4 linked regions of the Drosophila melanogaster genome follow. The protein of the gene in region 1 purifies or fractionates together with the protein of each later gene. This does not show direct contact. Each region holds a gene or a part of one and is shown on either strand. Other genes may lie near its edges. The genes, in order: WASp, Whamy, Cyfip and Vrp1.

Region 1 (7,287 bases):
AGAATAGTTGCCAAAACCATTATGTGCAAGAAGCTCTGCCGCCAGAAAAGTCAAGGCAAGCGCTTATTTATTTATCGGAAACTTTGTGCAAGGACACACCAGCCTCTTTTAGGCTCGACAAAAGTGAGTGTGTGAGTTGGTGGCCCTAACATTTGGCTTTCGCCTGAGGCCACAGAATGACCCTCAACCCGAATCGTTGCTAATTGATTCAACTTGCCGCCCCTGGGCGATGATCCAAAATGTTACGTGCTGGCAATTGAAACACTGCAGCCGAACAGCAATCCAGCATTATCAATTAATGGACACATTAGAGATGGATGGATGTGGATGGATGGTTGGTTAGTGGATATGGGCAATGGCCATGCAGAAGCATTTGCAGCTGACCTTTGGCTCAAATAAAAGAGAAAGAGGCATTGACGAGCCACTGGATTTTATGTAGCTTCGGATGTGGAAGATGCTTTCCAGCCCACACAACACAGCGCAACACAGCACAGCACACAGCTTGTATCTCTGGCAAAGTGCGAAATTGTGAACACATTTGAATTTTTATTGATGCTTAGCTCTGGCTTTTTTTACTCGCGCCAACTGTGAGCGGACATAAGTAGCATTGTAAAAATGATGTCTTGCCTTCTACGTACAAGCTGGTGTTTCTTTTGAAAAGCATTAAAATCGATGGAAAACAAGCGACAGCAAAAAGTGGTCATTGCCACCGAGCGTGTGGCTCGATGGAGCGGGGAATGGGTGCGGTCCTAGCGGTACAAGTCAACCCAAATGGGCCAAGCGGTAAAATGCTCATACGCCCTGTGGCCAACATATTATGTCAGATTATAAATAAACATTTATACGGATATCTATAGATACCACTTTAATCGCAATGTATTTAGAGAATGTCATTGCTATTTAAAGATGCGTAAAAATACTAGAAATGAGTCAGCTACTTCCTTTGTTTATTAAAATTCTTTCGAAAGTAATCAAAGCTAGCTAATTATTCAGAGAGCAAAATCTGGGGCTCAAAGTGTACACTATCCAAACATAAACATCAATTAGAAAGTTTGGCCTGTGCAGAAAAATGCGTTAAATAAGTGTATACAAATAAATGCGAGCAAGAGTTGCGACAAGCGACAAGCGACTGCCAAACCACAATAACAACATCGGGTTTGCTAAGCTGCAGCTTTGTGTGTTATCACACGATATCGCACAAAGACGGGCAGCATTCGATACGGTGAAAACAAGATATGGTTTGGTGATTGATTGAATATTTTCCACCAGGTAATCTCTTTCTTTATCTCAGAGAGCAGAGCAGGGCAAACGAAAGATGTGGGATTAATGACATAATTTACAAATCCCCGAACGTTTTCATTGACTTGCCCAATACCCGTAGCTTCAGTGAATCAAAAGCAGAGACTAAAAATATGAGAAATGGATTGGTAGTGCCTTTCTGAGTGTCTTCAAAAGGGGCCAACTGCCTTAACCAGCCCACTGGTTGCATTACTTTGGCAGAGTTCAAATGCATTTGGAAATGTTTTGTCAATGGAAAGTTGCGAATTAGCAAAGCGTGAATTGCGAATCGAAATTAGCGATTTTCCCATGTTGTGCACACCATAATTATCCGCACAACGGCCGCCGTTAAATGACCACATTCCAAGTTTCCACTCCAATTTCAGGGCATTCTTATCGCACTTGGCATTGGCCGGTGATTCGCATTGGGCGGGCGGATTGATAAGATAAGGTTCGTCTGTATTTCGCCTCAAATACTATATGTACCCCCACTCTTATCACGACCCAATGGGCCAAACTAATGGTTTCTCTTTCGTTTCGCACCACAATCGGCTTTGGCACCCCAATACTACGAAGGAATAGAGTTGGAAATAAAAAACTAATCAAGAAGTGCAAACAACTGCGCTTGTGGCCTATCAATGCCGGCTCAAGCCGTTTGCTGATAGAGGCTCTAAGAAATGCTAGGTAAATATTAGTAATGTTAACAAAGTCTAACAAATTGCTCTAGTAACACTGGCCAGCACATTCGGACTCTGATCTGAATGAATATTATTTATTCCTTATATACTCCTAATTTCTTAATGAGCATTTAATACGAGAATAGTGCCCAATAAGTTGTAACCTACATATGTATGTATGGGCACCATAAAACATCTGTGTAACAATGATTCATCTTGTTTTTTTTTTGTATAGTACAGAGAACATTAATCTAAATGGTTATCTGCACTGACTCAAGTAGACTTTCCAGCAAAAGAGTATGTCTTTCAATCAAAACCAAAGCTAATAATGTGTACGATACTCCCATGCAAGTTTTATAGCTGACCAACTAACTATAGTGCATAGAACTCTAATTTTGTTCACAGTTTAGCTTCCGGTGCCATCTTTAAATGGGCAAAGAAACCATTCAACTATGTTGGGCAGTGTGCAAGTGAAATTTGGTAAATATGACAGGCAGCTGCCCGTAGACCGTAGAATGATATTATGATATAGGGTTACTGTGCTTCGAGTGAAATTCGCACACGATGGGCGACACTTGAGCCGCAGGAAGTGCTTCATCAAGCCGTGGGATTTGCTCGGCGAAGGCGGAGGAACACAAACCATGTCATTGCTTAATTATTAATCACCCGATTGGGGGCATTATGCATCATCAGTACTCGACTCACCTGGCACTTCTTGCCCAGCAGCTTGAAGACGGCCTCATTCTCCTCCTGGGTGAGCAGCGTACTGGCGGCATTGACCTTCGCCCGTGGACCGTCCTGCGACCTCATTCCGCTGCTCATCTGGCCGGTTTCGTTGGATCTGGGTCTGGTGCTGGATATGGGGATCTGGGCTGGTTTCCCTGCACAATACGGACACAATACGCATTTTATTGTGTGGCGAAAACAATACGCAAATGAACAAAAGCTAAATGTATTAATTTAATATCACAAAACGCTGGGGACCCCGAAAAAGTAAAAAGTTCATAACAATAAAGGCACACGGAGTAACAGTTGAACTTCGATAGAGTGAACAAAAGTTTGGGATCGTAGGGTTGACGATACAATATGAAAAGTTTGAGCTCCCATAAATATACTAAAGAGTTCAGAAACTGTATAATATTTAACGTTTAAATGAATTATTGCAGTCAACGCCTTCGAATATAAAAAGATAACTACACTTGGATAGGCTGCCTATTTTTTTGTACAGTGTACAGCTTGTAAAAACTCCGATCTACAGAGAGTTTGAGCAACGGAGTCCGAAGTGTGTTGCGAATAACCCGATTTGGGATCGAAGAATTATGGTTTTGGGACTGCTGAATCGATTGACAGTATTGTCTTTACGGTTTTGAATGGTTTTCAGCCCGAATTACGGCCAAGAGCGCGAGCGAGAGAGACCGAGACCTGCGCTGGCTATGACGATGTAGCTGGTTATGGTGTCGGCGGGGCTGCGAGCGGATCGCCTGGTCTGAGTCACGGTGCCCGAGAGTCGGAAATCAGAAGCAGAAACAGAAACAGTCAGCCAGCAAGCCAGCCAGCTGCGTTTGAATGTGGGCAAAAGCCAGGCCAGTGGCAAACTCTTCGAAAAGAGCCCTTATCTTTGGCGAAAAGCACTGATTAGGTGTGCGCATGTATCTATGTGTGATACATGCACAGTGGTCTGGGTTACTCAACATTCGGCACTCGCCACAAGCCACCAGCCAATCCACCCCACTGTGCGCCACTCCGTAGCTCCAAGATTTGTGACAACACCTGTCCGTCGTCGCGCCAGGTGGGGTGAAAATGCAAATGTAAATAGACAGACGCTGCTGCGGATTGGGAGTAAGTTCATGGGTTGGGTTGGTTCGGCTTGGATGGGATGGGATGATGTGCTGCCCTACTCAAGGTCTCGAATTTCCCTTGTGAGCTGCTCTGCTGGGGGGGTCGCCCATTGATTTTTTGCGTTTATTTTCGTGCACTGCTCTTCACTCTTTCGTTTTTTTCCCACACACAACACAACACACCACAAAATCTGTGTAGTCTCTGGCCTTGCGGATTCCGGGACTCTTATCGGGAGGCTCTACTGTGCGCGCGTCCGCGTCATCGAGTGCATGGCGTTGAAAACGAGTGTTCCTCGGTTGATTATTCGTCTGTTCCCGGACGCAATGCTAGTTTGTTTATTCATTTATTTTTTTTCACTCCAATTCAATTGCTGCCAGTGTGACCGACCGAAAAAGGCGATAGGCTAAAAATACTATCCTTTCGATAATTTCCTAAAATATGCATCAAGCTCTGCCAAGGCCCTGTGCAGACCATGCTCGAGACTTTTCAATTTTGCCCATCACTAGTTCCGCTTAAAAGTTTATCAAAAAGTTTCAGGCAATTCCGTTAAGAAATCGCGAGTGGAGAGCTGTGGGAATAGTATATTTTTTCATTTATGTTATCTTTTCCGTTAAATTTGATTTTGTTTACCACGCCCGTAAATTCGAATAAATATTTGTTCATCTGGCTTTCAAAATATGTTTTATTTTGATATAAATTATAATCGAGTAAATTCACATTGGTTTAATTTTTTGCTGACAAAAAGCATATTTCGATTTATTCATATTGAAAATGGTTAATCGCATTGAATCGGTAAAAACTAAGTCGCAAATGATGAGCTTAATGCATAAGCTGTTTCCTAAAACAGTTACCCTTAACTTGCTAAATTATATAAAAGAATACTTAAAAAGCAGTGACTAAAAAATGTGAATTTCTTCTCTCTTCAGATATTTGGTGTTTGCATAAGGAAGCCAGGGGCATATTTTAAACTTAGAGTATATTCTCAATAAAGATGTGCAACTATATGATTGTAATTGATTTCAGTAGCTCACCAGTTGGAGGACAGCTCATCTAACTAAGTGTTAAAAAAGTTAAATCAGAACAGACATTCGACTTGGTAAACCTTTCCTAGTTAATGCGACAATCGAATATATAGCATTTATATATATGCCAGTATACATTTTGTATATATTGGGTAGTTGTACACATGTTGAAAGGCCTGATTTTGTGTATATATATGCAATACATTTGGCTACACACGATCGGGAGCATCGGGAGCTTCCTTCTCTGACTGTGATTTGGATAAGTTGAAGTTACTAGGAGTTTGCGCTAACTCTATGCTAAACTGGTTGCTTACAAAGTTTTAGGGTCTACGTATAATGTATAAAGTAAAAGGAGAGTAAAATATGGATTACATAGCGTATGTATATTAACTCCTATCCTAAAAACTCTTTGATTTTGACTCTGACTCTAGCTCGGCTTGTGGATGTGGACCTGTGCGTGTTCGGTTCCTAAAAAATGCTTGACAAATACAGTCCTGTTCCTCTTACAATCTCCACTTCCGTTTTCGCTTTAACTTGGCTAATTTGTGATCCATACTATCCTGAACAAATTAACCCTCTATTTCCGCGCGCCCACCACTGGCAGCTTGGACTTGACTCCTCCAGCGGTGCTGGGGGTATTGTCAAACGTGGAGCTGCGCAGGAGCGTCGGCTTGGTTCCATTTGCGTTGAGCATGTTGGAAGATTTGGTTTTCTGCGTCCTCAGGTTGGATGACGATTGCTTGGTTTTGGCCTCGTCCACTCTCTTCCAGATGTTGGCGATACGACTTTGCGCATGGTTGATCTTGGCCGCAGCTGCTGCGGCTGCACTGCTTCCATTTAGGTTGGAGTTGCTGCGGGATGGTGGAGTAGTGGACGACACGCGGCCGGAGACCACACGTGAGGCAGCGTGAGATTTGCCCGCAGCTAGTCGCAGACTGGTGTTTGCCCTTTGAGGCGTCATTCGGCGGGCCGGCGCCAAGGGAATCCTCTTGGGAGAGCCCGCTTTCGATGGTGACCCACCGCTGGCCGTGCCTTTCTTTGTGGGTAACTTCGAGGCGCGGTGAGTGGGACTGGTTTGAGCCGGTTTTGTCTCCACCACGGGCACTTGAACATTGGAGTTAGTGGGCTCGTCCTTGACAAAGGTTCCCTGGCGTTCCAAGCGTGCGGGTGCCGGCTCAGGCGGCGGCGTCGGCTTCTTTTTCGCTGGTAACCTAACTCCTGAACCGCCGGGCACCAGACTTCGTTTGGCAATTGTTGGAGATAGGGTTTTCTTCTTGGACGGGGCGGCATTGTTGCTATTCCGTTGACTTTGCATGCTGTAGGGTGAGACATAGGCTGGTTTCTTGCGACCTCGCACCAGTTTTACGGCCGTGGCGGGCTCCAAGGTTGTGGGCTTAACGACTGATGTTCTAAGGTCCACAATTGACGGAGGAGGAGGCAGCTGATCCGGTTCCTGACCATCGCACGACTCCGTCTCAGAGTTCTGATCGCACTCCGGGGATTCCCCTGCGTCTTCTGGATGATCAGTACTCTCGCAAGTCTCCTGACTGTGTCCAATGTTAATGTCCGTGATGAAAGTGAACTGTTGCATCATTGCTCGAATTGAGGAGAGCTGTTCGCTTGGGCAATCATCGGGTTGGGGTTGTATCAAAGCCAGGGGACATTCAATCAGTTGGGTCTTGTACCGCTCCGCACTGCCCCTTCTCCTTCCATTGGCGCGTGGCGATGGCGTGGCCACAGGAACGGCAGCTTCCACAATTTCTATCTGCAAAGTTTCATTGGCCTCTGGTGCTTCCATCTCGCAGCTGGTGGCTATGGTGTAGGTCTTGAAGCGATCCTTTGTGAGACGTCGCTTGTCTTTCGGTGTGAGGGAACGACGATTGGGTGATGGAGTAGATCCGTGCTTGGGTGTGGACTCGGCCGAGCTGTAGTCATTCATTGTGGCATCCTCATCCTCGTCGAAACAACTTTGGAGCACGGTCATCGTCTGATCATCGCAAGCAGCCGTCTCATAGTTGGACACGGAAATGGTGGTGGCCATGCTGCAGTCCTGCTCGCCATCGGCCACCTCAGATTGAATGCTGTCCACACTGATCATCGAGTCCAGCAGCTCATCCATCAGTGACGGAGGCTTGATGTTGTCCAGCAGGTTGCAGCTGGAGTTCACGCTCTCCGCACTGCCAGCTAAGTGACCCAGTGCTCGTCTGGCTACCAAATTGGCTGGAAACATTTTTCGCGCGAAGCGTGGACTCTTGCTGGGCATCGCCTGGCGCAGAGAACTAGGCTGGGAGTGATCCTGGTAGCAGCTGTTCAGCGATTCCATTCCCGACGGCGGACGAATATTATCCAGATCCAAACTGTTCAAGCTGAAGGTCATCTCCGTGGTGTCATCGTCAGTGGCAGCGGGCTGGAGTAGATTTTCCGCCAGAGCTCGCGCTTCGAACGCAATCATGGTCGAGTTTGTCATAATG
Region 2 (7,103 bases), about 19 Mb from region 1:
ACGGAAACGCCTGTCTTGCAGCATGAGCGATGCAGTGCATCCATGTGGCCGCACATGACAAGTTCAAGTTCACGGCGGACGACGTCTATAAATTGATGTTATTTTTTTTGCGCAGCCAAATTTGACGGGGGCTCGGTGCCCAAATGGTTGGTTAATGCCCGCCCAGCAAACGTAATGCTTTGTTACAGAAATAACCCGCAGTGATGTAAGGCACACAGAGATCTCTCTCGGCTGCCAAAAATCGCTCTCTCAATGGGAATGGGACTATGACTTGGGTGTGACGATCGCCTCTCCGACAGCGGAAGCTGTTGATCGCTGTTGGTTTGCCCGGGGGCACGGTGATCTCTTATGGTTACACATTTTTTAAATACCTGCCCGGCGTTTGGTGCGACAGGTGCTAATGTGGCGACATTCCGATTGGTCGCGCCAATGCGATTCCGCACGTAATGGCTATTAAATTCGGATCTTCTAAAATGGAAAGTTTATTGTGCGCTCACAGTACGTAGATACGGATGCGGGTGTGCAAACATTTGGCGAACTATAGAGGACTACAATAGGAATATCAAATTAAATTTGTACGTCTTCAATGATCAGCTGCAATTGGTCACAATCCCATTGGGTGATAGATAGTTCTAGGCACTTTTGGGGCTTTTGCCAATGCCGCAAACCTTGCGGTAGTGCTCCGGTTGCTCCAGGCTGTCGATAATGAACTTTCCCAAGTCGTATTTGGATACCAGACGACCGGGGGCCTCGTCGTGCAAGACGGTATAGGCGGTGGCCGGCTCATCGGCTATGTGCGGCGGCAGAATGGCGATCCAGTCTAGATCGCAGGCCTTGGTCAGGTCCAGCATGCGCTGGTGCTCCTCGTTTAGGCGGTGGAACACAGTGGGCACTTCGTTGAGCGGGCGCAGGAGAAACGAGGACATGACAATAGAGAATTTGGTCAGTTTGGCCTCTTTCATGGCCTTGATGAGGTTCTCGGTGCCGCGGGATAGCTCCGTGGTAGCCTCCAGCTTGTTGCGGGTGCCCAGGATGACGGCTACCGCATCCACGCCCTCGATAACGCGCTGGACATCCTCGTAGTTGGTCACGTCTCCCTTGACCAATTCAACCTTGGACTTGAAGCGTTCTGGAACTGTCTTTTCGCTGCGGTATAGCAATTTCACCGACAGACCTGAAAGGAAGAATACGGTTTAACTGGCGTTTCCGGGTCTTAAGGTGTCACCTACCCTTCTGCAGGGCGTGATCCACGGCACACTCGCCGGTCATGCCGGTTCCTCCAATAATAGCAATGCGTTGCATAATTCGGATGATTCTTTAATTCCCGTCGATTGAAATGCGTTTAGTCCAGTTGTTGGTTTGCAAAAGTGCAGTCTCACCTGTGCTCCAGGCGCAACTTATCTATCAAATTTCCAATTCACAAGTGAATCCAGCGCGATTGCCTCGCATTCTCACCTCACCCGTAGCAATGAATGTACAGTGCTCTTTCTAAATAGTGAACGCTCACTGATCTGAAGCTTCTGTAGAAGGTAACAAGATATTTAACATTCATTTGTATTTTTATTAAGCTACGAATTATTGCTTTAAAAATATCGTGTTATTTTTGTCTCTATGCAAATAATCTTATTTTGTTTATTGGTTCATTGCTTCTAGTTAGCACTGTACTGGCAAAACAATATGAATTTTTATATAGATTACTGTCAGGCATAATGATAAGGTATATCATATCTGGCGATAACAATTTTATTTACAAACGCTAATGGTCATTTGTCATGGTGATTAATATTAAAATTATAAATACATTTGCGAAAATTAAAATTAAGGCGGTTGTTCTCAGTCTGGCAGCCCTGCCACTTGGTTCAGTGTGGTAAAATGCGGCGCAGTTGAAAGTTTAACCGCCAAATCGTTACGCCTGCGACTCCGATTCCTCGGAATACGGATTATCCGCCGGATTCTTGACCCGTCTCAGTGTTATTCCCAGCTTCAGTTCACTTAGAAAGTCGGTGGTCACCGGCTTACGTTCTGGACGCGGCTTAATGCCACTTATGGTGGCTGCCTTCTGATCCACTTTCTGCAAGAATCGAAGAAGGATTAGATTTCCAATTTAAATGGGTGTCTACTTTTAATACCTTCAGCTTTACGCCTTGTCGAATGCTCTCCAAGAACGCATCCCTCGGGTCTCCGCCGGTGGAGGCAGCTGAAACAGCCTTGGGCTGTGATTTCTGCATCGGAGGCGGTGGTGGAACGCCGGCCATGCCACTTGATGGAGGCGGTGGTGGAGGAGGAGCGCCTCCCGCGCCAAAAACTGGCATTGGTGGCGGTGCTGGTGGAACACCTGCTGGTGGCGCTGGAGGCGGCGGTGGAACACCAACGGATGCCGCTGTAGGCGGCGGTGGTGAAACTGGCACCGGAGTACTACTAATCTGGGTTTTCTGCGCTGACAGTGGTGTCATATAGACAGCCGAAGATCTAGAAGTCGGCTTGGCAGGAGCAGCTGGTGGCGCCGGCTTGGCAACAGGCGCGTACTGCACCGGGGACACAGCATACAGTGATCCGTTGGAAATCGTCGAGTTCGTATGAGGCACTATTGTTGGCTTTGGAGGCGCCGGCGGTGGAACGCGCATTGAGCCCACTTTCCGTTGCGGTGATATGGTGGCGTACGTCTCATTCGCTACCTTTGGCGCCACAGATGGCCTCACTTGACGAATGTCAATGGCCGCTGGATATCCATGTGTGTTCTTCGCCATTACCGCCGATGGAGGTGGAGGAACCTTAGGTTTCACACTCTGCTGAGGCTGCACTTGGACGGGTATCACACTTCCGACCTCTGCCGGTTGAAAAGGAGTTGGTGCAGCCGGCGTAGGAGCAGGTAAGTCCATATCGGAGATATCCACAAACCGTGAAGTAAGCGAGGCGTAGTTGGAGAAGTTTGGTGCCTCCGTTGGCCTCGAAATAGTGGCTATTGGAGGCGGCGGTGGAGACGGCGGAGGAGTAATCTGGTTATTAGTGGAAATGGTGGCATAGAGCAGCGGCCTGGCATGATCTTGAACTTTTGGCTGCGCCTGAAGATCACTTTTTGGTGGCTTAAAAGGCAAATGTTATATTAACAGCTTCCAGTTAATTTCAAGACCTACCATCCAAGTAAAATTGGAGTGAATGATCTTCTTGATCACTTCTTGGCGCCGCATGTCACTAATGTCCGCCTCCGTAATGCCACGCTCCATCATGTACTTCCTCAGCACCTTGTCGTTGGGATCGGCATTCAGGTCGAAGGCGTTTCGCGTGCGATCCCGCGTCACATCGCCGGAAACGTGCTGGAAGTTGACTGGTCCGCTAATCTCGTACTTGGAGCCCTTGCTGCTGACCAAGACGCTGGTGGCGAAGCTGGGACCCGCCAAGGCCACAGAGGGCGGAGCGCCCAGATACCTGTCCAGGCTGTTCGAGGAGGAGGAGCTCTTCATGCCGTCTAGACTGGCGTTGATGCTCACGTTGTCGGCGTAGTGAGGCGGTGGACGAACTGCTGGCGGTGGATGTGCAAAGACGTCGCTGCTCACTTGCATAGACGGTGGCTGAAAGGAGAAGAAAACGGCTGCGTTCAGGACAACTGTGGACAACATCAAGGACACTTTCGGCTGATGAAGCTGGCAAGATGAGATGCTGCAGGATATTACCACCCAGTAACCGGGTTCCTTATTGCTTCTAATTATGTCATAGACATAGGCGCGCCGCACAATAGCCGGCAGACGTTCAAGATCATCGGACAAATTTGCCTTGCGCAGGTACAACTGAAGCATTTCGTCGGTGCCCTGGCCTCGCAGATCGAATGTCTTGCGGAAGTCAATCGCATTGCCCTCCAGCTGGCGGAACTCCACGGGCTCGGAGATGTAGGCGTATGTGTAATCCTCCATCGAACTGGAAAAACGGATACGTAGTTGGTAGCTGCGTTATTACGGCTGCAAAGGAGGTGCCGCCCATTGGCATTGTCTTGGATCTCTCCCCGTTGCCGCCGTGCGTCCACTGGGCCCAGCGGCATTATCTAGTAGCCAATTTGCAGATAAGAACTGCTGGCGCAACTTGGCGTTTTATCAATTTCGGATTCGGATCGCGGTGGGCCTTCACGGACGTGACTCATCGACGGTCCCAGTCACCAGTTAAACAGGCTAATAATTATTACGAAAGCCCATTGAAACGAGATGGTGGTCTAGAACGACAGTAGGCAGCGGCGATGAGCAAGGATCAATTACCGTGCGCACCTGGAAACGCTGTTTGCAGGGATTCTGCAAATGCTGAACCGGATCAGCTCGGCTCGGGTCGGCTGGTGTGTTTGAATGGCACGGAGAACCTTGTGGGACTGATTAACAACGTCGGTGTGCCATGTTAGGCACTGCGTTTACTCATTTCGCGAGGCGTCTTATCTGTAACCGAAGTGCTGAATGCAGATAACTGGCGGCCAGTAATCACCTGGGCCAACTACGACGACTCCGACTCTGACAGCCTGAGCCAAAGGAAAACATAAACAAATGGCGTTAACTACACTTTGCGGTCTACGATATGCGCCTTGGCTGTCAGAAGTCTGCAAAATGTTGGGTAAGTCCAAAATTTAAAAATTAGCTAATGACTAATGTGTTGTAGAAGCGGAAACGGCTTTATAAATCATTTTATTTTTAAAGATGAATGCATATGCAGGGACTTAAAAACACAGTTTCAAAATGTATAACTACGAACCCATTGGTTTGAGTTTCTCATTATTGAGATGTACTTTAAATCTTATGTGATATTAGAAATTAAAATTCAAAGCAATTTAAAGACTACATTTATATTATACATATATATTTTACGATATACGTATTTATAATATTCAGTTGATTCTCAGGTCATTTAAGTTATAAACATATCGGTAAGTTGTCAGATGTTTTACTTTAGCAAACATTTTAGTATTGCCGTCTTTGTTAGAAACCCTTTAGAGTTGTCCAATGCCTTGGAGCCAACTGTCAGTTGAGCCAATTTTCCAGCGACGGAGAAAGCAAATCTCATATCCCTACTTATCAGCAGTACAAACGTTTCGTTAAAATTTCCGAACAAATTATTCCTGCGATAGAAACTGTACAAATTTGAACTTTTTTCGAATTCGGCCAACTGCCATTGAGTTTTAAAAACTTTGAATCGCTTTTGAGAGAGAGCAATTTTCTGCGAAAGATACGCGATCGGACTAGCGCCATGAAAGTCAAAGTTTCGGGTGAATATACGCTGGCCGAGATCGAAGTCGAGTTGGACCAGCAGTTGACGCCAGACGACCTGCAACCCGGAGCCACAGTGCTGGCCACCAACGAGAGTACTGGCGGCTTAGAGCGGATTGTCAGCCATGAGGAGCTGTCCAGATTCTTCGCCGTGGGGCCAGCGGGCGCCTTACCAATGCCCACGGATGTTGTAGTGGAGCGAACATTGGCGGATCCGGCTTTCAAGCAAATCCTGCAGGAGGCCGACGGAAAGAAAGGCTTCGATCCCCAGGCGGAGCAAATGAAGATTCGCGACTTTTTGGCCGGCGTCACCAGCAGCAAGATGACCACTGAGCAATCGGTCTTTCATGGTATACGAATAGATTCACTTGCATGGATAAGTTTTTATAGTATTGCCTACATTATTTAGGATCTCGTTCCAATTCCTCTGCGTCCACTGTCAACCGTATAAAGTGTCCAACATGTTTGGTCCAGTTCGATGCCGTGGCCTTTCAAAATCATTCCTGTGAAGCGAAGCCGATCGAGGTGGCGGTGCCTCAGCAGGAGAAGCCACATCTTGTGCCTACTGTATCTGCTCCTCCGGCTCCGCTAAGCAAACCGGCTAGCGAGCGGGTAATTCGGGAGAACCAAGTGCGTCTGCGCCGTTACATCAAAGATGAGATGAAGTACGATCTGGCCACAGGCATCGAAAGCTCGCGCAAAAACGCGGCCAAGGGTCCCAACGAGTGCACCATGTGCGACCGCAAATTTGTCCACGCCTCTGGGCTGGTGCGCCACATGGAGAAGCATGCCCTGGACTTGATCCCTTCGCAAACCAGCGAGCAACCACATACGATTCCGGCTGCCGGACTGCATGTGGTGGTTAAGTGCAACTCGTGTGGCCGCATCTTCTATGATCCGCAGGTGGCTTTTAGACACGGCCTTATTCACGATTCGGAGCATTCAACGATGCGTCAAAGTCCAATGACCCAAGTACCCTCCAATAGAGCAGATTTCAATGAGCTGCTGCTGGATGGCGAGATGCTGATAGACAACGATCCCGCATTTGCAACGAGCAATCAAAACACAAACCCACCGAAGAAGGAAATGTTTAGCAGCCTGATCTTGGGAAGTGTTTTGCAGTGCGAGTTTTGCGAGTACATTTTCGCTGACATAGCCGAGCTGCTTGTCCATTCCGCTTCCCATGTGGCGGAGCGGCGCTTTGAGTGCACCGCCTGCGACATTCAGATGAACACGGCCAAGGAAGCCAGCATCCACTTCCAGACGGACTGCATTTTCATGCGCGAAGCAATCAGGTCCCTAAATGTCACGCTTAGTCGCTACTTTGTGTGTAATGTGTGCGAGCTGAAGTTTGCCAACACGGACCTGCTCCAGGAGCATCGGTAAGCTATTGGTTAGCCATTGAAAGTATGATTACTTCGATTCTCTATTCTCTGTACTAGGTGTACCTCCTTTCACTACTTTCCTCGCCTCAACGAGAATGGCAAGAAGCTCCTGCTGCCCTGTGACTTTTGCGACGTCAACTTTGAGTTCGCCCACGATTTTCTGGCGCACAGCGAGGAGAAGCATCTCAACAAAAAGAAGCGCGAAAAGGAAACGCGCAACACGGGCGCCGGCCGAATACGTCAATATCTCTGCGATATCTGCGGCAAATCGTACACCCAGTCAAGCCATCTGTGGCAGCATCTACGCTTTCACCAGGGTAAGTGATACAGTGTCTATATGAGGATAAGATGATGATAGTTCCTTTTTAGGTGTGAAGCCCTTCGTTTGCCAGGAGGAAAACTGTGATCGGAAGTTCACCATTCGCCCAGATCTGAACGACCACATTCGCAAGTGCCACACGGGCGAGCGTCCATATCTTTG
Region 3 (9,535 bases), about 13 Mb from region 1:
CTGGTCAAGTCCGGGGACCTAAGCGTAGTGTGCGTAGGATCCGTGTGGTCCAGCTGGGATCTGCTGCAGGAGGCCTTCATCAGTGAACTCGCTAAGACAACCATCGACTTCGACCTCAAGCTGGTGCGCATCACCAAGAGCAGTGCCTACGGAGCCTGCTACCTGGGTGCGGATAGTGCGGACTTCGATCTTCCGAGAAACTATGCCGACAACGTCACAGTACTGTACACGTACACCGATCCTCGAAAGAAAGCCAAAGCCACCAACGGCTGTAACTGTTAGATAAATTGTGTTTGACAACCCATTCCGCAATACACTTCCCAATTGCCAAATTCGCAATCAATATTCCAGTTAGTGGTACGGATAGGTAGTATTATAGCTTATCAAAAAATAAATAATTTTATCCTTTGACGAAATCCGCTGGAAAGTAAAGAAGTTTCCCTTTCAATCTTGCATCAAACTCACCTACATATACTTTCTAAACTTTTTTTGTTGGGTTTGTTAGAAATACGTATGAAAATTTTATTCGATAATGTTCATTGTATTAATTGTATGTGTCTCAATTGTTGGCTGTCGTGGCTTCTTTTCATGTATGTGGGCATACATGTGCGGCATCTTCTTTGTAATACTTTGATTGTGTTTAAAGCCAATTTGTTTTTATTTTCGCAGTGCTGTCAATTCAATTCTTTGGCTAATTTGATTCTCGAATCGGGAAGCAGAACATAAATGTATCTGTTTGTAGCGAAGGAATACATAGGCCAAAAACATAATATCTTAGGGAGCTTAGAATAGAGTATTTGGGATAATGTACGAGTAGCTGAATCGAATGCCGTAGCAAGTGAATCAAAATTACATCTACATGTATATATATATAATTGCTTGGATAAAACATTTAACGTACTGTAAGATTGAATGCGACATACCAAAAGAGATTTTCAATAAAATCGAATTCAAATAGAACCAAGACCGCCACTTTGACTAAAAAAACTGTCAAAGTTTCGGCAGCATAGCCAAGAAAACTTGGCTTTTCGGCTTCTACGTCGCTGTTTTCCTGGGGACTAATTCATCTGCGATTAAGTGTAACCTATTTGTATGCGATTAGCTTAAATGCATCCCTTTCCGGGCGACTTCAATTGTTTATGCTCTGCCGCAGCTTCTGGGGATCCTGGTAGTGCGACGAGGACGATATGACCGAGGGATGCTGAGGCGGTGGAAAACACCGCACGTGCTCCACATTTGAGCCCTCGCCATCGCCGCCCTTTAGATACTTGTTGAGAATGGAGAAGATTTGTGAGTTTAATACTTGGAACCGACGAATCCGATCCACCATTCGCTTCAATTGCTGTTAAGGAATATTCAAATTGTACTTTGGGCACTTTGGTAGTTATGTTAGAACTTACAATGCCCTTTACGTCCTCATCCTTGCCATCGACGCGCTGTACCCGCAGAATGTGGTAGCAAAAGTCCAGAGCCTCGAAGCGACGCTGCTGTCCCAGCAGTACGATCATGACGCAGCCAGCCCAGTTCAGACCTTCGCCGAAGAGCTCCTCGATGGTGTACTCCGTTCCCCTGACTGGAATGCAATAAACGAACTGCAGAGCCGACCAAAGGCGATGGAACTCCGAGCACTCATCCACGTGGATAATCCCGTTGGCCGGTGGAGGACCACACCACACAGGGTCGTCCAAATAGCTCTTCACGCGGTTGAGAATAACTTCAAAAATGCTGAGGCCACAGCAAAGACGCTCACGAGTCAGCAAATCTCCCTCTCGTGCTATCATTGCTTGCTGTTGGTAAAGATTATTATTATAAAGTTAATCAATTAAGTTTGGGGGCTCACCTTTGCAGTGCCAATCTTTTCCACGTTTGAAACTATCTGCAGATTGGCAAACTGTGCTTCAAGACGCTTTTGCTTAGCCTCCGGTTTTTCATTCTCTGAAATGGGTAGAGATGTAAGTAAGAAAAACTACCCATGAAAGCATCCACTTGTACATACCTTTGCAAAAAGGTCTGGGAAAGATGTTCTGGAAGAGGGCGGCGTGCAGTAGATCGCACACCTCCTCCTGCGAGAGCGCCTGTTCGATCAGCAGGCAAAAGATAATGCTGTTGCCAAACTCCCGGAAAGACTGAAATAGCTCTGTCTTCGCGTCCGGATATTGCACGATGTCTGTAAGATGAGCCTGATAGTAGCTGAGCACTCCAGGCGAACCATATTCGCAACGGGGTAGTTTGCATGACTTGGGCATGGCAATCATCAGCGTCTTGGTGAACTGCAGCAGCGAGCCCTGGATCAGTGGCTTAACAATGTCCTTCAGTATAATGTCCATGACGACTGCTATGCCCTGATAGCCCAGCAGGCGGCACATGGCATGGAAATGCGGTGAACCTACAAAGCCAGTGTACTGGCCATACTGTGTGGAATAGGCAGCATTCAGCTGCTTGGAACCCCACAGATAGTAATGGGACATTTGTGGCGGCTTCTCACGCTGAATAGCCTGTGACGACGAAAGATTCACTTTGGTTCGAATGAAACTGCAAGAGATAATAGTAATAATAAGTATTTTAAACAATAGAAAATTGGCGGCACACCCACCGATTCGTGGCTGCATTATAGCAGTAATTGACCAGAAAGTCGTAGTTCAATTCCACAAAGACGTGCAGTGTTATTCTGCCGTAAGGCGCCAGTACATTGTGGTTAGCCTCCTTTACCATGCCGTCAAAGTTATCCAGGGCCAAGTACTTGCTTAGCAACTTGTGGCAAATTCGATTCGCCTCTAGCAGGCCTTCGAGTTCCTGAAATTAAGCGAATTAGAGACCGATTCTAGACATCTGTAGGATTCCACTTACCACAATGCCGGTTATATCGTTGCCCTCGAAACGACTGATGGCCAACTCAATGCTCTTGTGCATGTTGGCGTTTATGCGTTGTGTGATCAGTTTGTTCAAGTCAATAGAACGGCCTTAAACGAATGGAGAAACCATTAACCAAAAGATCATGATGCAATGGGTGTTTTGCTTACCCAAAAGTTGGACATGTCGTTGTTTTAACAAGGTCTCATAACGATTATTGCGGGGATACGACTGGAAGTTGAAACCGAGTACCTCGCACTCCAAACGGAATCGCTTGTCCAAGAAGATGCTGCCCGCCAATTGCTTGTAATGGGCAAAGATCTGCTCGCTCAGCTTGTAGACAAACTGATCGAAGCACAGATTGACTTCGGCCTCCACTTCGTCGTACAGGAACTGCTTTCGGAAGACAGTGAGTGCGTAGTACGCCGAGTCGTTGTACAAGTCCAGGGGATACAAGACAAATCTGTGTGAGGCACTTAGTTAGTTCAGATCATTTCACCTATTCGCCATTTACTTACTCCATCATTGAGGGCTCCTTCGTTTGCAGAATGTGATCGGTTAGGATCCAGGGCATGGACATTTCAATCGGAAACTGAATGCGCTTCTCCATGGTGATCAGATCCTTGCACTCCTCGTTGTGCTGATGCCGCACCAAGCACTTGTTAACCTTACGACCCATGGTCATCTCCAAGTAGAACTCGCGATACCACAGCTGCGAGAGATCGCAGCACTTCTGAAGCGTGTCGCTGAAGTTGAGCAAGTAGCTCCAGTAGAACGATGTCTTGTGGAACGTGTCGATCTGCAGCAAACAGTTTCCGTCGATGTCCTTGCGCAAAGTGCGCTTGCCGCCGCTTTTGTCGGCAATCAGAGACTCCAGCATGGTGCGCACCATGTATAGCTGAGTGGAGGAAGGTCCCACATTGAGGCGAGGCACCTGGATGCGGAAGCCGCCGTCGGGATCCTTCTTGCCCTTGGCCACTGGATCGTCGGTGGGCTCATAGCCCTTTTGCCAGTCCGCCGATGTCTCTCGCACCGACATGATGATGCTCCGGATAAGATCCTTCTTATTTTTTACGGCCTTTCGCAGCGGTTCACGAAGCGAAAGCTGCACGAAGTCCTGCAGCTCGGAATAGATGTTACGCCGGATAGCCTCGCACAATACGGTTTCAATGCGCGCCATTAGCACCTGCAGTCCCTTTATCATGGCGATGACCTCGATCAGCGCGAACTTCTCTTCCGAGGTGTAATTGTAGCGGGTGGCCCGCTCGTACTCCTCAGCCTCCACGGGGCACTCCTTGTTCTGGTGATGATCAGTCGGATGCAGGAGCTTCCAGGAGTACAACTCGGTGACCACACTGGTCCACTCGGACAGCAATTGAAGGCCGCGCAGAGCCAGGTCGGCCGTAATCCGGTTCTCGGCATCAGAGGGATTCTCCTTGACGGTGGTGGTCACCTCGTTTGTGTATCGCGCCAGCTCCGAAATGTACTTGACGTGATCCTCGCGTATCTGCGGCAAATGCACCATTAGATCCGCCTGTGGGCTGATGGCGTTTGAGCTGGACAGCGGCCACTTGCTGGAATCGAAGTGCTTGCTGCGCTTTATGTAGTTGAAGGGAGCAATCTGCATGTCGCCGAAGAGGGGCACCACTTCCAGGTTCTTAAAGATGCGATCGATGCGATCCAGCCGTATCTTCTTCTTTTGATCAAGTTTGTTGATATTGCACGCATCGCTGTCCATAAGGAACAGGCCAAAGCCCATAACTTTTACCAGCATGTGCTTCTCCTCAGGGGTCAAGTACATCTTTGTCTCGAACATATGCACGCAAATGTTGACCACATCTGAGAGCAGATCCTCGTAGCCCACGATCTTCTCCAGCGTGTCCTTGACCGTGTCGCGAATCTTGTTCTGCGTGGCCAGGAACATGGACAGATTCTGCGACTCCTGCAAGGTGTGCGAGTCCGACATCACTTTGAGGAACTGCGCAGCTCGCCTGTAGGTGGAGTAATCGTTCTTCACGCTGGACTTCATGTTCTTCAGCTCGTCCAGCACGGCAAACATGTTGATAAACTTGCCTAGCGTCAATAGGTACGCCTCGGACACGAAGTCCTTGCGCTTCTCGGCGTGGCACAAGCGCTTCACCTCGCCGGAGAAGGCCTCGATGGCCTTGCGTTGGAAGTACATGAAGTTGAGCAGCTTGTTCACCTCCGGGGCTAGCACCTCGACCGTCTTCTCGTAGATCTCCACGCGATTCGGCTGCTCATTGGACTTGGGCTGCGGAATGGCGCGCGAGCAGCAGCGCCAGGTGTAGAGCATTACTGCGTGTTTCTGCCCCTCGTCCAGGAGCACATTCTGCGGGCGGAGAGAAGGGGTTCAGAGCTGTGAGTAATGCTAATGCGATAAGCCGGATACGCTAACTCACCAAGTTGGCATGGGTGGTGGCCTCCTCGATGTACTTGGCGATACCCGTGACAAATCCATTGCGATCCTCGAAATTCGTATCGAAGTTTGCCTTGTAGATAATCGAGCAGGGCTGCGCCTCGATGCAGGGCTGCTCGTCCGGCAGGGATAGCTCGTCCAACACCTCCACGTTGGACAGCGCGTCGGCTAGCGTAATCTTCTCCGTCATGCTGGGCTGCTTATCATGCTCCAGCAGCGCGAAATGGTTAAATTCTAACAAGGCGGGGCCCCAATCCAATCGACACAAATTTTTTTCGCCACAAATACAACACGACTTTTACCATTCGCCTGGGTGCGTGGACACGTGGCCATAATTAGCACATTTTTGCTGGCGGTTGGCGTCTACGATGTGCTTATGCTTATATGGCTGCGCACCGCTAATTTCGATAAGAGAAAGATAATCGATAAATACGGCGCATTGGCGGCACATCACATCACTAGCGTCTGTGGTTCCGTTTCGTTTTAGCGAACTCAATTTCTCCTATTTTATATTGCATTTTCCGTTAAGAGTAGCCTACAATTCTGCAAGATGTCGATGTTTTGGGGTAAGTCGAACTGATCTCACTTGCCCCCTCCGGGCTGGTTGTGCCAACGAGCTCTTGGGTGCTCCGACCGCGCTTTTATTGCCACCACGTGCTTGCCGCTCGATTTACCGGCAGCGTGGAGCGGCGCCATTTGCACGCCGATGTAAAGTAAACCATGTTTTTGACCAACTGTGTCCTCTTCCAGGTTTGAACATGAAGCCTGAGCGCAAGTACTCGCAGACGATCATCAAGTCGTTCCACATCTCGGGCGTGGCACTCGACAAGGGCCAGGAGGCCAAGTTGTACCTCGCTGCCGAGAAGCAGGAGTACATCGTGGCCACCGTGACCAAGGCCATTCCACAGGTTGCGCTCGACCTGAACTTCAGCAAGGGCGATCGCATCATGTTCTACACCGCCGGTAAGACCTTTTATGTCCACTATGTTCGCATGTTTATCCGTTTCTGACGCTTTCGTTCGTTTCACAGGCGACGCCAGCGTTTCTCTGTTGGGCTACTTGCACGACATTGATTCCGAAGATGATGAGGATGACGATCAAATGACGATCGAGAATTTGCTGAACTCCAAGGCGATCAAGAATAGCAAAAAGTCTGAAGATGATGAGGATGAGAATGAGAGCGGCGAGGAGGACGAGGAGGATACTGATGACGATAGCCAGATAATCGAGGAATACGAGTCCTTCCTCGAAAATGGTGAGGAGGAAGATGACGACGATGTTGATGAGGATAACGAGGAGAGTGGCGAGGAGGATGAACAGGACAGCGACGACTCCGAAGCTGAAGAGGAACAGCCAAAGGCCAAGGTTGCCAAGCTCTCTCCTGGCGCTAGCGCCAAGAAATCTGGCAAGGAGCAGAACGGTGTGGCCAAGAAGGAGGAGGCCAAGCAGCAGCAAAAGAAGAAGGAGAAGCCAGAGGCCAAGAAGGAACAACCCAAGGCCAAGGAGCCAGCCAAGCAGCAACCAGCTTCTAAGGATCCACGTACTATCACCGGAGGCGTGAAGATTGTGGATCAGGTCGTCGGCAAAGGCGAAGAAGCCAAGCAGGGCAAACGCGTATCTGTTTACTACATCGGCCGCCTGCAGTCGAACAACAAGACCTTCGACAGCCTCCTGAAGGGAAAACCATTTAAGTTCGCCCTGGGCGGCGGAGAGGTCATCAAGGGCTGGGACGTGGGAGTCGCCGGCATGAAGGTGGGCGGCAAGCGAGTCATTACCTGCCCCCCGCACATGGCGTACGGCGCACGGGGAGCTCCACCGAAGATCGGACCGAACTCCACTCTCGTCTTCGAAGTGGAACTGAAAGCTGTGCATTAGTGCACTATATTAACATCATATAGACTTGTAATCCTAAGTAAGTATCCACGTCGTACAACTTGATAAAAATGTTAAATAAACTCTGTTTTCCGGCTGTTCATAAATCAACAGTTTTGTAACAATCGCATGTATTTGGTATGGGGTCTCTAAGGGGTTTTTTCGGGTGAACATACATCCAGCAGGGGCTCAGACTGGAGTTTCCAGTGCTCGAGTACGTAAGGCAGCCGTTCGCTGGGATCTGTGCTCCAGTGGTGCAGACGACACTTGAGTCGCGCCTGTTCCAGCTTGTTTATGGTCACAGTGCAGTAGAAGTCCTTGTTCTCCTTCTTCAGGTCGGGTCCCTCGATGCGCTCCTTGGGCAGGGTAATGCACTCCTCGCGACAATAGAACCCAGTCTTGCGCAGCGAGGCCTTGATGTGCCAGGGCTCGAGCACCCATGGCTCATCCTTGTTCATGACCACCGCCAGCACAATGGTCTCCAGCATGTTGACCGTGCGCTGGGCGTAGGGGGAGCTGTGTTTAACAGTCGATTTTTCAGCCTCTGTCTTGGCGTACTTGGCCACATTCTCCGGCGTATTGTACGCGGCCAAACCCGGCAGCAGGAGCTTATTGTAGACAAAGTGCGGCTTCATTGACACCACGTCGCCCTTGTCGCCAACGCCCTCGACGAAGGTCTTTAGCACCACCTCGATGTTGGGCCGCTTTTTGACCAGCGTGTCGTCCACGAGCTCGTAGATGAAGTTCTTGGCCCTCATCCGGCGGGGTTTCTCGTTGGTTTTGTGCAGCGGCGGGTCATATTTGCGCTTCAGGACGAACGTGGTCTGGAAGCAAATTGGTGGTGAATGGGGATCGCTTCCCTAATCCAGGAGAGCACTTACCCGCACTTGCTGCTGCAGGCTGGTGGCCGATTTAAGCAAATTTAACGGCGTTACGTAGATGTTCTTCAACATTTTTACCACCAATATGTCTGCGTTGCCAGACTACTCAGCCAGTTTGCAGTGTTGCCAGATATGATTATTTAATCTGCGTGAGTTCAGCAGTAAAATTTTCAGTGACTTTGAAAACGATTATGAATTTAGTTTTTTTATTGCAACTATTTCTTTACATTTTAATAAAGCAAAATAATTTGCCCAATTTACCTTTTAATTGATTAAAAAAAATGTACCTTTGAAAGTATTATGACTGTCAATTTTAATTTAATAGTTTCATTACAAAATAAAAGATTGACTATGCCAATATTTCGGCGAACGCGCCCATCGACATGCAGTATGCGTACACGCTGTGAAGCAGTTTTTAAACGGAAACCGTTAGTCGAATTTATTTACAATATGACATTTTACAATCAGGACTCAATAGTGTTTTGTATCCAATCAACGTACTTGCCCACCAGCGTGTAAACTCCTGGCCATCCGGCCAGACCGCACGGAGTCGGTCCAAATGACACGACGCCGGCCAGGAAGTAGTAGGTGTTCACCTTGTTGGTGTCCAAGCCGATGAGCGGTCCCCCGGAGTCACCGCGACAGGAGTCGACGCCTTCCTTGCCGCCGGCACACATCTGTGTGTCCTCGAGGAGAATGTCCTGGCTGCTGTAGACGTTCTGGCACTCATCCATCCGGAATCCCTCCACGGCTGCCTTCAGCTTGAGGTTGCTGGCCGACAGCTGCTCCGTTTTGCCCCAGCCGGCCACGTCCATGGTGATGCCGTCGAAGGTGGCCGACCGCAGATTGACGTCCAGAGGCAGGCAAATGGGTCGCACAAAGTCGGTGTACTCCACCTGCTGGGCCAGACGCAGCAGGGCTATGTCGTTGACCTGGTTCTTGGAGGCCGGTATATAGTCGGGATGGGGTATAGTACGCTCCACGGGCACGTCCAGATGCGGTGGCGCGCAGTCCTTCATGCCGCGCACATCTACTTCGCAATCGGGATTAGTGTTGGTGTCCCATTCGCCCAAACGAACACCGGACAACCGCCAGTCGGTGGGCAGTGCCTTTCCGTTGACACAATGCGAGGCTGTGATCACATATCTTGTGCTGATCAAGGATCCGCCGCAATGGTGACCCTTTTTGCCCTGGCCTGCATGTAGGAATTAACCAGTGGATAAGTGCGTTCAGACTTAAGACGATGCCCCTCTACTTACTTTTGGTGTATTCAATTAGAGCCATCCAGGGGAACTCGTCGATCTTGGTCTTCATTCCGCCATAGATGCGATTGGACAGGATGTTGCCGCATTGTCCTGGCAGCGGCAGAAGGCTGTTGCTGGTTACATTGGGCTTGGGCGGTGGCGTCGTCTCCGATGAGCTCTCCCTGTAGCGGTCCGGACAGCAGATGAGCACCTTGCCGTTCGTATAGCCGCACTGGCTGCGACTCAGGTAA
Region 4 (7,268 bases), on another chromosome or scaffold:
TTGCCCCAAATGGACATATAAACAAGGGCGTGTTATGTTCCGAGGGAAGGACTGGTATAGGATGACATCGAATCAAATTGAATCAAAGCGCGGAAATCAAACCTCCTGCCCATTTCCACCATTTTAACTCCCATTCCATCCACGCCGCAAACAAATCGCCCAACTGTCCAAATTCATTTCCACCGCCGGCCATAATGTAAGTCAAATATTGGGTGTTAAATGTTCAGCACGCCCATTGGAAACGCTTCGTGAGACAATACCCGATACGCCAACCAACACCCGGTAACCGCACGAGATTGCGCAAGTCTTATAAGACAGGCCGCAAAGTGTCCCCCAGTTTGGATTTCTGGCGGGACAGTTTGGTTTAGTAAGCGCCCAGTTCTCCTAATGATGGTAATTTTGCTGAGGTTTTTCTTCATTTAACGTAGGTTTTCTTTGTCTCGCTTTCCTTTCGTTTGGCTCATCGCTTTGTTTACTTGGCAATTTGCACAAGTGTTTCATTGCGTTTCAGGTTTTGAGACTGGTTTTGGCAAAGGCTGTTCTAAAAAGAGATTTTGAATGGTGGTTTCTAACTTCAAATGACTTCTAGTGTGCCAGTTAATTAGTTTGTCTAATTGCAAATTGTATAGTGACTGTGACTCATTTCAGTTCTGTATTTGATTCTTAAGCACAAACCGGTTTACATGATGCACTCAGTCTTGCAATTTAATTTGCCTCACAAGTGCCCAGACTTTCGCTTTCAATTTCTTTAATTCATTTTTGTCGTTTAGCTGTGGCCAAGTTCCAATTACACAAAACCAAAACCGTTGGACTAACAATTAACATTTACATTTCAATTGCAAGTCGTGCCAGCTGTGCCTTTTCATGATTTTCGAGGCAGGGGAAGCTGCTCATCAAATCATTGAAATTCCAAAAGCCACGCGGTACGATAATAATATGTGACCGCAGTGCAAATTAGTCGGAGCAACAAATGCAAAAGACAACACGCTCCGAAAGCATTTCTTATGCCAATGTTTTTATAGCTCATCCAACTCGATTTTGTTTATAAGTTTTTTTTTTTTTGTGAATGACCGTTTATACTAGAGGCCCGCTGACGTAAAAACGTTTTGTGGCGAATGTTTTGAGGTGAATCAAATTCAGATAATTCAGAGATACACAAAGTGCCTTCGCTCCAGTGGCAGAGTTTGTTATGCCGAAAACATTACTGCGGAAAAGGTCAGATATCTAATAAATACAATTTAGTATGCAAATTCCGAATTTCTCTATCAAAAACACATTTCCAATTTATTCTTGACAGATCTCAGATCGCTCAAATGACTCATAAGCCGTTGAGCCTCAACCTCTCTGATCAGCAATAGCGCCAGAACTGGTTTATTGTAATATTAGTCATATTAAACGCTAGATACAAAATAAGATGATTTTCAAAAACTATAATAGCTTGACATCTTTATTGTTATTCCCAAAGGTTACTCCCAACCTTCCTTAAAAACCTTGTATTGATTCATTTGCGAGTATATATCCCACATATGAGTGAATACACCGCATTGAATGGCCTTTTATGAGCCTAAACACTGCGTTTCGTGTTACTTCTGATCTAAGCGTTTCACCATGCATCATTTTGCATTTGCATTTTGCATTTTGTAATTGAAGCTTCTGCCTTTGCCACATCGGCTACCTCATCAGCGCTTGCTGCGCGTGTGTGATGTAAGGCCCATATTTGCTTACAGATAAATATTGCATTGTTGCACTTGATGTGGCTGTTTCAGTTGCTAAGCCCGTTGTTGCCGGCGGGTCTATTAAAATGCGGTTTTCAGCACCGTCGCACAATGCTTAAATAACTAATGTAAACACATCATGAGAGTCGAGACGAGACAACGATGAACTCAATGACAACAACGGTGTTGGGTTCGCTAGTTTGCATACACTACACATGGAAAAAAAGAGCCACTAACAGCTCTTAGAAACAACAACCCGGTCATTCTAAGTGCCTAAGAAATAAATACTCAGCTAAACATCCTCATGTGCCAATTCATTTTTTAGTCGGATAAGATTCGAAATGGGAAGTTGGTCTTCCTCTTTGAACATTGAATCACTTTCAAAAAAATTACTTTCATGCTTAAAGCACATTGAGAGAGAGGAGTGTTCGCAGTGCAACTGCAAATGTGATGTGAACACAAGTCAAACACAAACTATGAGTCACCGGGGCACCGAGGAAGCGAAAGCCCTCGGCATGGGGCTCGAAACTGTAGTCAGAAATCGGTGTGCTGGAGAGCTCACTGTAGTTTTATGATTCAGTTCCAGGTTGCACAAGGAAGTGCAGCATAATTCAGCGTCATAAAGGCTGACAGAAACGACCGACTCTCTCTCTCTACTACGTGCCAATCAGACCTCGTGTGATGCAGTGCTCGAAAAATGCACGACAGCCAATTCGACTGACAAATGGCCGCACACAAGGCCGACAAGTGCCCACTCCCCGTGGCCATAAAACCCCATATCCACACCCCGTGCCCCACACACCTTCACCTCCACCCTCCCTTCAATCACCAGTCTTTGCGTGTGTCACTGCAGCAGCACTCGATATTTCTGTGTGTACTTGCAGTGGGGCATGCACAACAGCCTCGACAATAGACCGGCAGCAGGCAGACTCCTGGACGGGATGCCATGGAATGGGACGTTGGGATGGGTCGGTGCCATGTGCCCACCGCTGCCATGGCCTACGCCACGCCAATGACATTGAACCCGGCGACTGGGACGACCCTTTGTGCCATGCATAGCATTACGGAAAGGAGCTCGAAGCCCATTCACACTTGTGGATGGTTTAAAGAGCGCACTAAATTGGCCACGAGGGTTATTTTCGGTACAGAGAAAAGAAATTACTTATAACAACTTCTATAGTCTTGTATTTCAATGTTTTGATATCTGTTTTCCACCATCGCAGAGTAGTAAAGCATTTTAGAAATGAGAATATAAACAAGACGTTCCTCGACTATCAGATATTCGTTGCTCAGCTAATGGGAGTGCTGGACAACTGGAACCCGGACACCGGTACCACGACACCAGAAGTTGCACGCTTAAGCTAAAACTTGTGACTAACTCTACAAGTAATAAATCTAATGTAAAGATTGCGATTGTATGCCTCTTCAAATGGCTATAGTAAGAGCCCAGATTATGTCATACCATCGAAGTTCAACCGCCACAATTCGCACTCACATCGCTGAAGGGAGCCAAGCGAATGAATCAACCCCTAGTCAGCGAATTTAGTTTTCGTCGGCCGTCGAGCAATGCACTCTTTGTAGGTCAGTTATGGGGTGGCATGGGTGGCCACATGCTCCATGGGTCTTCGCTGGTGTTGCAACACTTGGTGTCGTCATGCGTCGCGTGCCCGGGCGTTTTGCTTAATGTGATTAAGACAAAGCGACAACAAACCAAAACAAAGTGCATTCGCTGACGGAACAGGAGAAAATCAAAGCGACCCGAGTTTATTGCACCCCTTTTAGCCGGTTAGACGGTGGAAAAGGCTTTTCGTGTTCTCCGACACAGGAAAAAATAAATTTCATGCAAGCTCAAATATTAAATCAAATCGGGCAAGACATGGACTGTCGGCTATACTTAGAATATATGCAAATAATGGTGATTAATCTGGAATATGGACATATGAATAAATATTATAAAAAGTCTAAATACAGCTGCCTACTAACGCTGGTATGTGTTTGTTTATTGTGTACCTCGAGGCTATAAGATATAGCCCCATATCTTGGAAAATGCAATTTTACATACACACAACCATTAGTCGCAAATATCGTGGCGAAATTGTCGGAGGGCGCGATAAGATAATTGCCTACATGGAACTGGTACCGAAGAGGTTCCTGAACTTGCCATAAATTACCAAATTTCTGGGCACCGTGCGAAATAGAATTGATAAGGTCGCTCGATAAGTCCGTACCACTTCGGATTCTGAGTGCTGAGTGATGCACTCAATCGACTAAATGGGTACAAAGCCAAACGAGTTGGATTTACAAACAGACTCACCTTGAAGCGGGTTTCGGTTTTCGACTGCGGTCGTAGCTTCTGTGAATGAAATTCTCGGTTCTCTGGGCTGCTGGCTGTCTTCGGTGTTTCAGCAGGTGATTGTCGTGATTCTCTGGCGGAGATGAAACAGCATAGCAAGCGGTTCCCTAATGTATTTTTCCGAAACTATGGTGTATAATCCGTATCCGTGTTCCTAAGTTAAGTTAATCCGCGCGCTAGATCCGTCTATCGTTTTTCGAGTGCACAGGTGTTGCATGTGATGTGTATCGTGTCCTGTGAGTGCGGGGGGAAAGTCCCTCCCACTGTTGGTAAGAATTGTAGAAATGTGTAAAAGCCTGGCTAAATGCCTAAAAGACGTACAACGACGATACAAATCCGACTGATTTTCATTTTTACACAAACACACGCACACTGCGACAGCACACTCTCACTCACGTACACGCACGCACACACTGCCAGGTGGGCTGACTTCTGATTCAGTGCGATTTTCGCGTTCTGCAAGGTGTATCTACAACCTCCCGAAACGCGTATTCACTTCGATTTCCGGGTTCTAGCGCTGCAGCATTGTTTATCTACCACGGATATCCAGATTTTCTTCGCAATCGGTCGAGAAAACAATAAATTTATTGTGCAGCTTAGAGGTGTAAGAGAAACATAGACGTATCGATGTCTCTCGATGGTTTGTGCCTATCGAAATCGGTGTCCCGCAATATACACAGCTTCCACTAAGCGAAATTTTAGCATTTTGGCATACGTGTAGAATTTAAATGGAAAATTACCCTTGGTAACGCATGTACGATCAAATTCGCACCAACTCAACGGTTCCTAATTCTTGTCGTGCAAATGAGACAAACAAATTTATAATTATTAAAATAAAATATATTCACATCGGATTGTATTGTTTCTTATATATATGGCCCAAAATTAAAGAATTTCATTTTAATTAAGAGCATGGTCGGCGTTGCCATACTTTCAAAAAGTTTTCCTTAAGCTGGGGTATATTCCAATAGCACAACAACGGTCACTCTATTTCAAAATTCAAAACAAGCTATTGGCGTCGTCTGTCTGGATTTTGTGTATGGAATAAGTAGATCAGAAGAAGCAAATGGGATCCAAAGTGGAGCAGCAGTACAAGCTGCTGAATGCGGAGCTAATGGACCAAGTGCAGAAGCAGCGCTTGGAGATCGGCGAGTACAGGAAGCGGGTGATATCTTTGGAGCGAGAGATCATGGACATTCGGGAGGAGCACGTCCTGCAAAACCATCGCCAGCGCATGGAGAACATCAGTATCGTACGCAGCCTGATGCTGAGCCTGAACGTGGACTCCGATTCCCTGGCAGTGCGTCAGGAGCCCGCTCCCGCAGCTCAGATAAACAGACCAAGCGGCCCGCGTCGCAGCTCCAGGGAAATCTGCAAGGACATGCGACGGACGTGTGCGTTGGCCCGCACCACCAGACCAATCTCGCCAAGAAGATCTTCCTCAGTGACCAGTACTGTATCGTCCACTAGTCGCCGCTCCAGCGCAGAAGTGCAGTCCGAGGTGGTGACCACTAGGATACCAGAGGATAGAAGAGCCAACAAGGTAACTTATACTTAAATTTGATTATGCTTTTCTTAACGATTCATTATCGGCTTGAGTACAGCCTACACCACCGCCACGAAGACCAGCGGAATTAGTGTTTGATGAGGACGACTCGGACGATGATTTCGACGAAGCAGTAAGCCCCGTGGAGGAGACACAGACTGAGCAAAATGAAGAGAACAATCGTCTGTTTAGCATTATAGAGGAAAATGGCAGTGAAGGGGAGTCCACAGACTCGTCATCATCATGCGAGGCCATCTATTGCGACACAACGTTTGAAAGTAGTCCGCCAAACGCCCAAGTCACCGTCACGCCCAGTGGACGGGCTCTGCGGGAAGTGGACACCAATATCCCTGTAGCAGTGTCCCTCAGTCGGGGAAAAGAGACTGGGAAGGGATCATGGTTGGCTATTTCCGTAGCTGTGGAAGATTCTCCACAGGAGCCAAGCATACAGTGCCCACGACTGGCAGTCACCAGGCCTAGTCAATCGTCTGGAATATTTCCTGATGTCAACGGATTAACGCCGCGAAGAAGCCTGTTCAATGGGATAGGCAAAATGGCCGGAAGCACCAGCACTCCGAAATCCTTTCTCGTCGAGGAAATGCCATCTATAAGAACTAGAAGCCGAACTGCGGCTAATAAGAAATCAGAAAATACGGATATGTCTAGTTCTTTCTGCAACAACAGCGCAAGGCCGAGTAGAAGCTGCAGGCCCACCAGTTTGGTGGAGCCAAGTCTGAAGAACAAGTTGCGCAATGGCTCGAAAGGCAAGGCCAAGGCCAAAAAGTAGATAGACGAATTTTTTAATAGGCTTTAATGTTGTTTCTGTAATTTCATTGGTTTTCAATACCACTTTTTACCATTTTTAATATGAATAATATTTTTAAATCGTCAGGCCCTGATAAGTTTAATTTATAGACTAAAAGCTGACATCGGATTACTTTTTGCCTGCAATAGAGGGCATATTCAGTTCATCCAGCGCTATCGGAAGGAAGACACTCCATCATCATCATCACCCAAAGATGCCAATAGGAATTTAAAAGTACGTCTAATTTTTACATGTTCATTTGTGAATAAAACAACGTTTCAATTAATTATTTGTTAATACGCTTTTAGGGGAACTCATTTTATAGATTCCTCTTAGATGCAAACTACGTTTATTCGCACAAAGTTGTTGGAAACATTTACAAAAGACTCTGAAGAACAAAGTACAATTACAATTACAATTAAATACAGTAGCAAAAGGGTAATGATTATACGTAGGTAGGCGATAATTGCACTTCTTTTAGACTACCTCGAACTTGCCCATACAACAGTTGAGATGGTCTCCTGCATGGTTGTGGCTTGGCTGCTCCGTGTTCTCCTTGATCTCGCTGATAATGTCCTGTATCTTGTTGATGATCTGTTGCGAGTTTTCACCTTCGCCAGGAGTGTGTTCGCTACCTGCGGCCGCTTCTGGTTGCTTTGCCTGGGCGGCATCTGCGGGTAGCTCCACGCCCAAACTGACCACCAGCTTGTTTAGTGCCTCAATCTTCTCGCGCAGCTGCTCTCGCTCCGCTTGCAAGAGACGCATTTGGGCGGCCTTCTCGTACTCACGCTGCTTTAGCATGCGCCTCTGCGTTTGATAGAGGGCAATGTACTCGCCAATCGTTTCGGT

Evidence for each region.
Region 2: the proteins of WASp (region 1) and Whamy purify together in Drosophila melanogaster (affinity purification with western blotting; one study listed by BioGRID). This does not show direct contact.
Region 3: the proteins of WASp (region 1) and Cyfip purify together in Drosophila melanogaster (affinity purification with western blotting, with the first as the bait; one study listed by BioGRID). This does not show direct contact.
Region 4: the proteins of WASp (region 1) and Vrp1 purify together in Drosophila melanogaster (affinity purification with western blotting; 4 studies listed by BioGRID, with this or other methods). This does not show direct contact.

Annotation. Positions count from the first base shown.
Region 1 is NT_033777.3:28,827,842-28,835,128, forward strand, and holds the start of WASp (WASp), read right to left. Parts: upstream 4,184-7,287; 5' UTR 3,977-4,183; intron 3,473-3,976; exon of another isoform or gene 3,378-3,472; intron 3,300-3,377; exon of another isoform or gene 3,153-3,299; intron 2,837-3,152; 5' UTR 2,778-2,836; coding exon 2,661-2,777; intron 1-2,660. Other genes in the region: Apc (APC-like), read right to left, coding at 5,394-7,287.
Region 2 is NT_033777.3:9,770,067-9,777,169, forward strand, and holds Whamy (WHAMM and JMY related), read right to left. Parts: upstream 4,354-7,103; 5' UTR 4,254-4,353; exon of another isoform or gene 4,245-4,253; intron 3,913-4,244; 5' UTR 3,909-3,912; coding exon 3,135-3,908; intron 3,084-3,134; coding exon 2,130-3,083; intron 2,072-2,129; coding exon 1,907-2,071; 3' UTR 1,729-1,906; downstream 1-1,728. Other genes in the region: CG9471 (uncharacterized protein), read right to left, coding at 633-1,174, 1,230-1,302; topi (matotopetli), read left to right, coding at 5,218-5,587, 5,647-6,619, 6,680-6,939, 6,992-7,103.
Region 3 is NT_033777.3:15,329,331-15,338,865, reverse strand, and holds Cyfip (cytoplasmic FMR1 interacting protein), read right to left. Parts: upstream 5,601-9,535; 5' UTR 5,478-5,600; coding exon 5,271-5,477; intron 5,201-5,270; coding exon 3,369-5,200; intron 3,314-3,368; coding exon 3,021-3,313; intron 2,961-3,020; coding exon 2,848-2,960; intron 2,794-2,847; coding exon 2,594-2,793; intron 2,533-2,593; coding exon 1,997-2,532; intron 1,936-1,996; coding exon 1,841-1,935; intron 1,788-1,840; coding exon 1,401-1,787; intron 1,343-1,400; coding exon 1,130-1,342; 3' UTR 501-1,129; downstream 1-500. Other genes in the region: Nagk (N-acetylglucosamine kinase), read left to right, coding at 1-282; Fkbp39 (FK506-binding protein 39kD), read left to right, coding at 5,838-5,853, 6,038-6,250, 6,318-7,162; mRpL9 (mitochondrial ribosomal protein L9), read right to left, coding at 7,309-7,983, 8,041-8,112; ea (easter), read right to left, coding at 8,505-9,235, 9,300-9,535. UniProt on the Drosophila melanogaster protein: Plays a role in guidance and morphology of central and peripheral axons and in synaptic morphology. Also required for formation of cell membrane protrusions and for bristle development.
Region 4 is NT_033778.4:22,117,864-22,125,131, forward strand, and holds the start of Vrp1 (verprolin 1), read right to left. Parts: upstream 4,700-7,268; 5' UTR 4,030-4,699; intron 1-4,029. Other genes in the region: mei-S332 (meiotic from via salaria 332), read left to right, coding at 5,135-5,611, 5,673-6,401; GM130 (golgi matrix protein 130 kD), read right to left, coding at 6,897-7,268.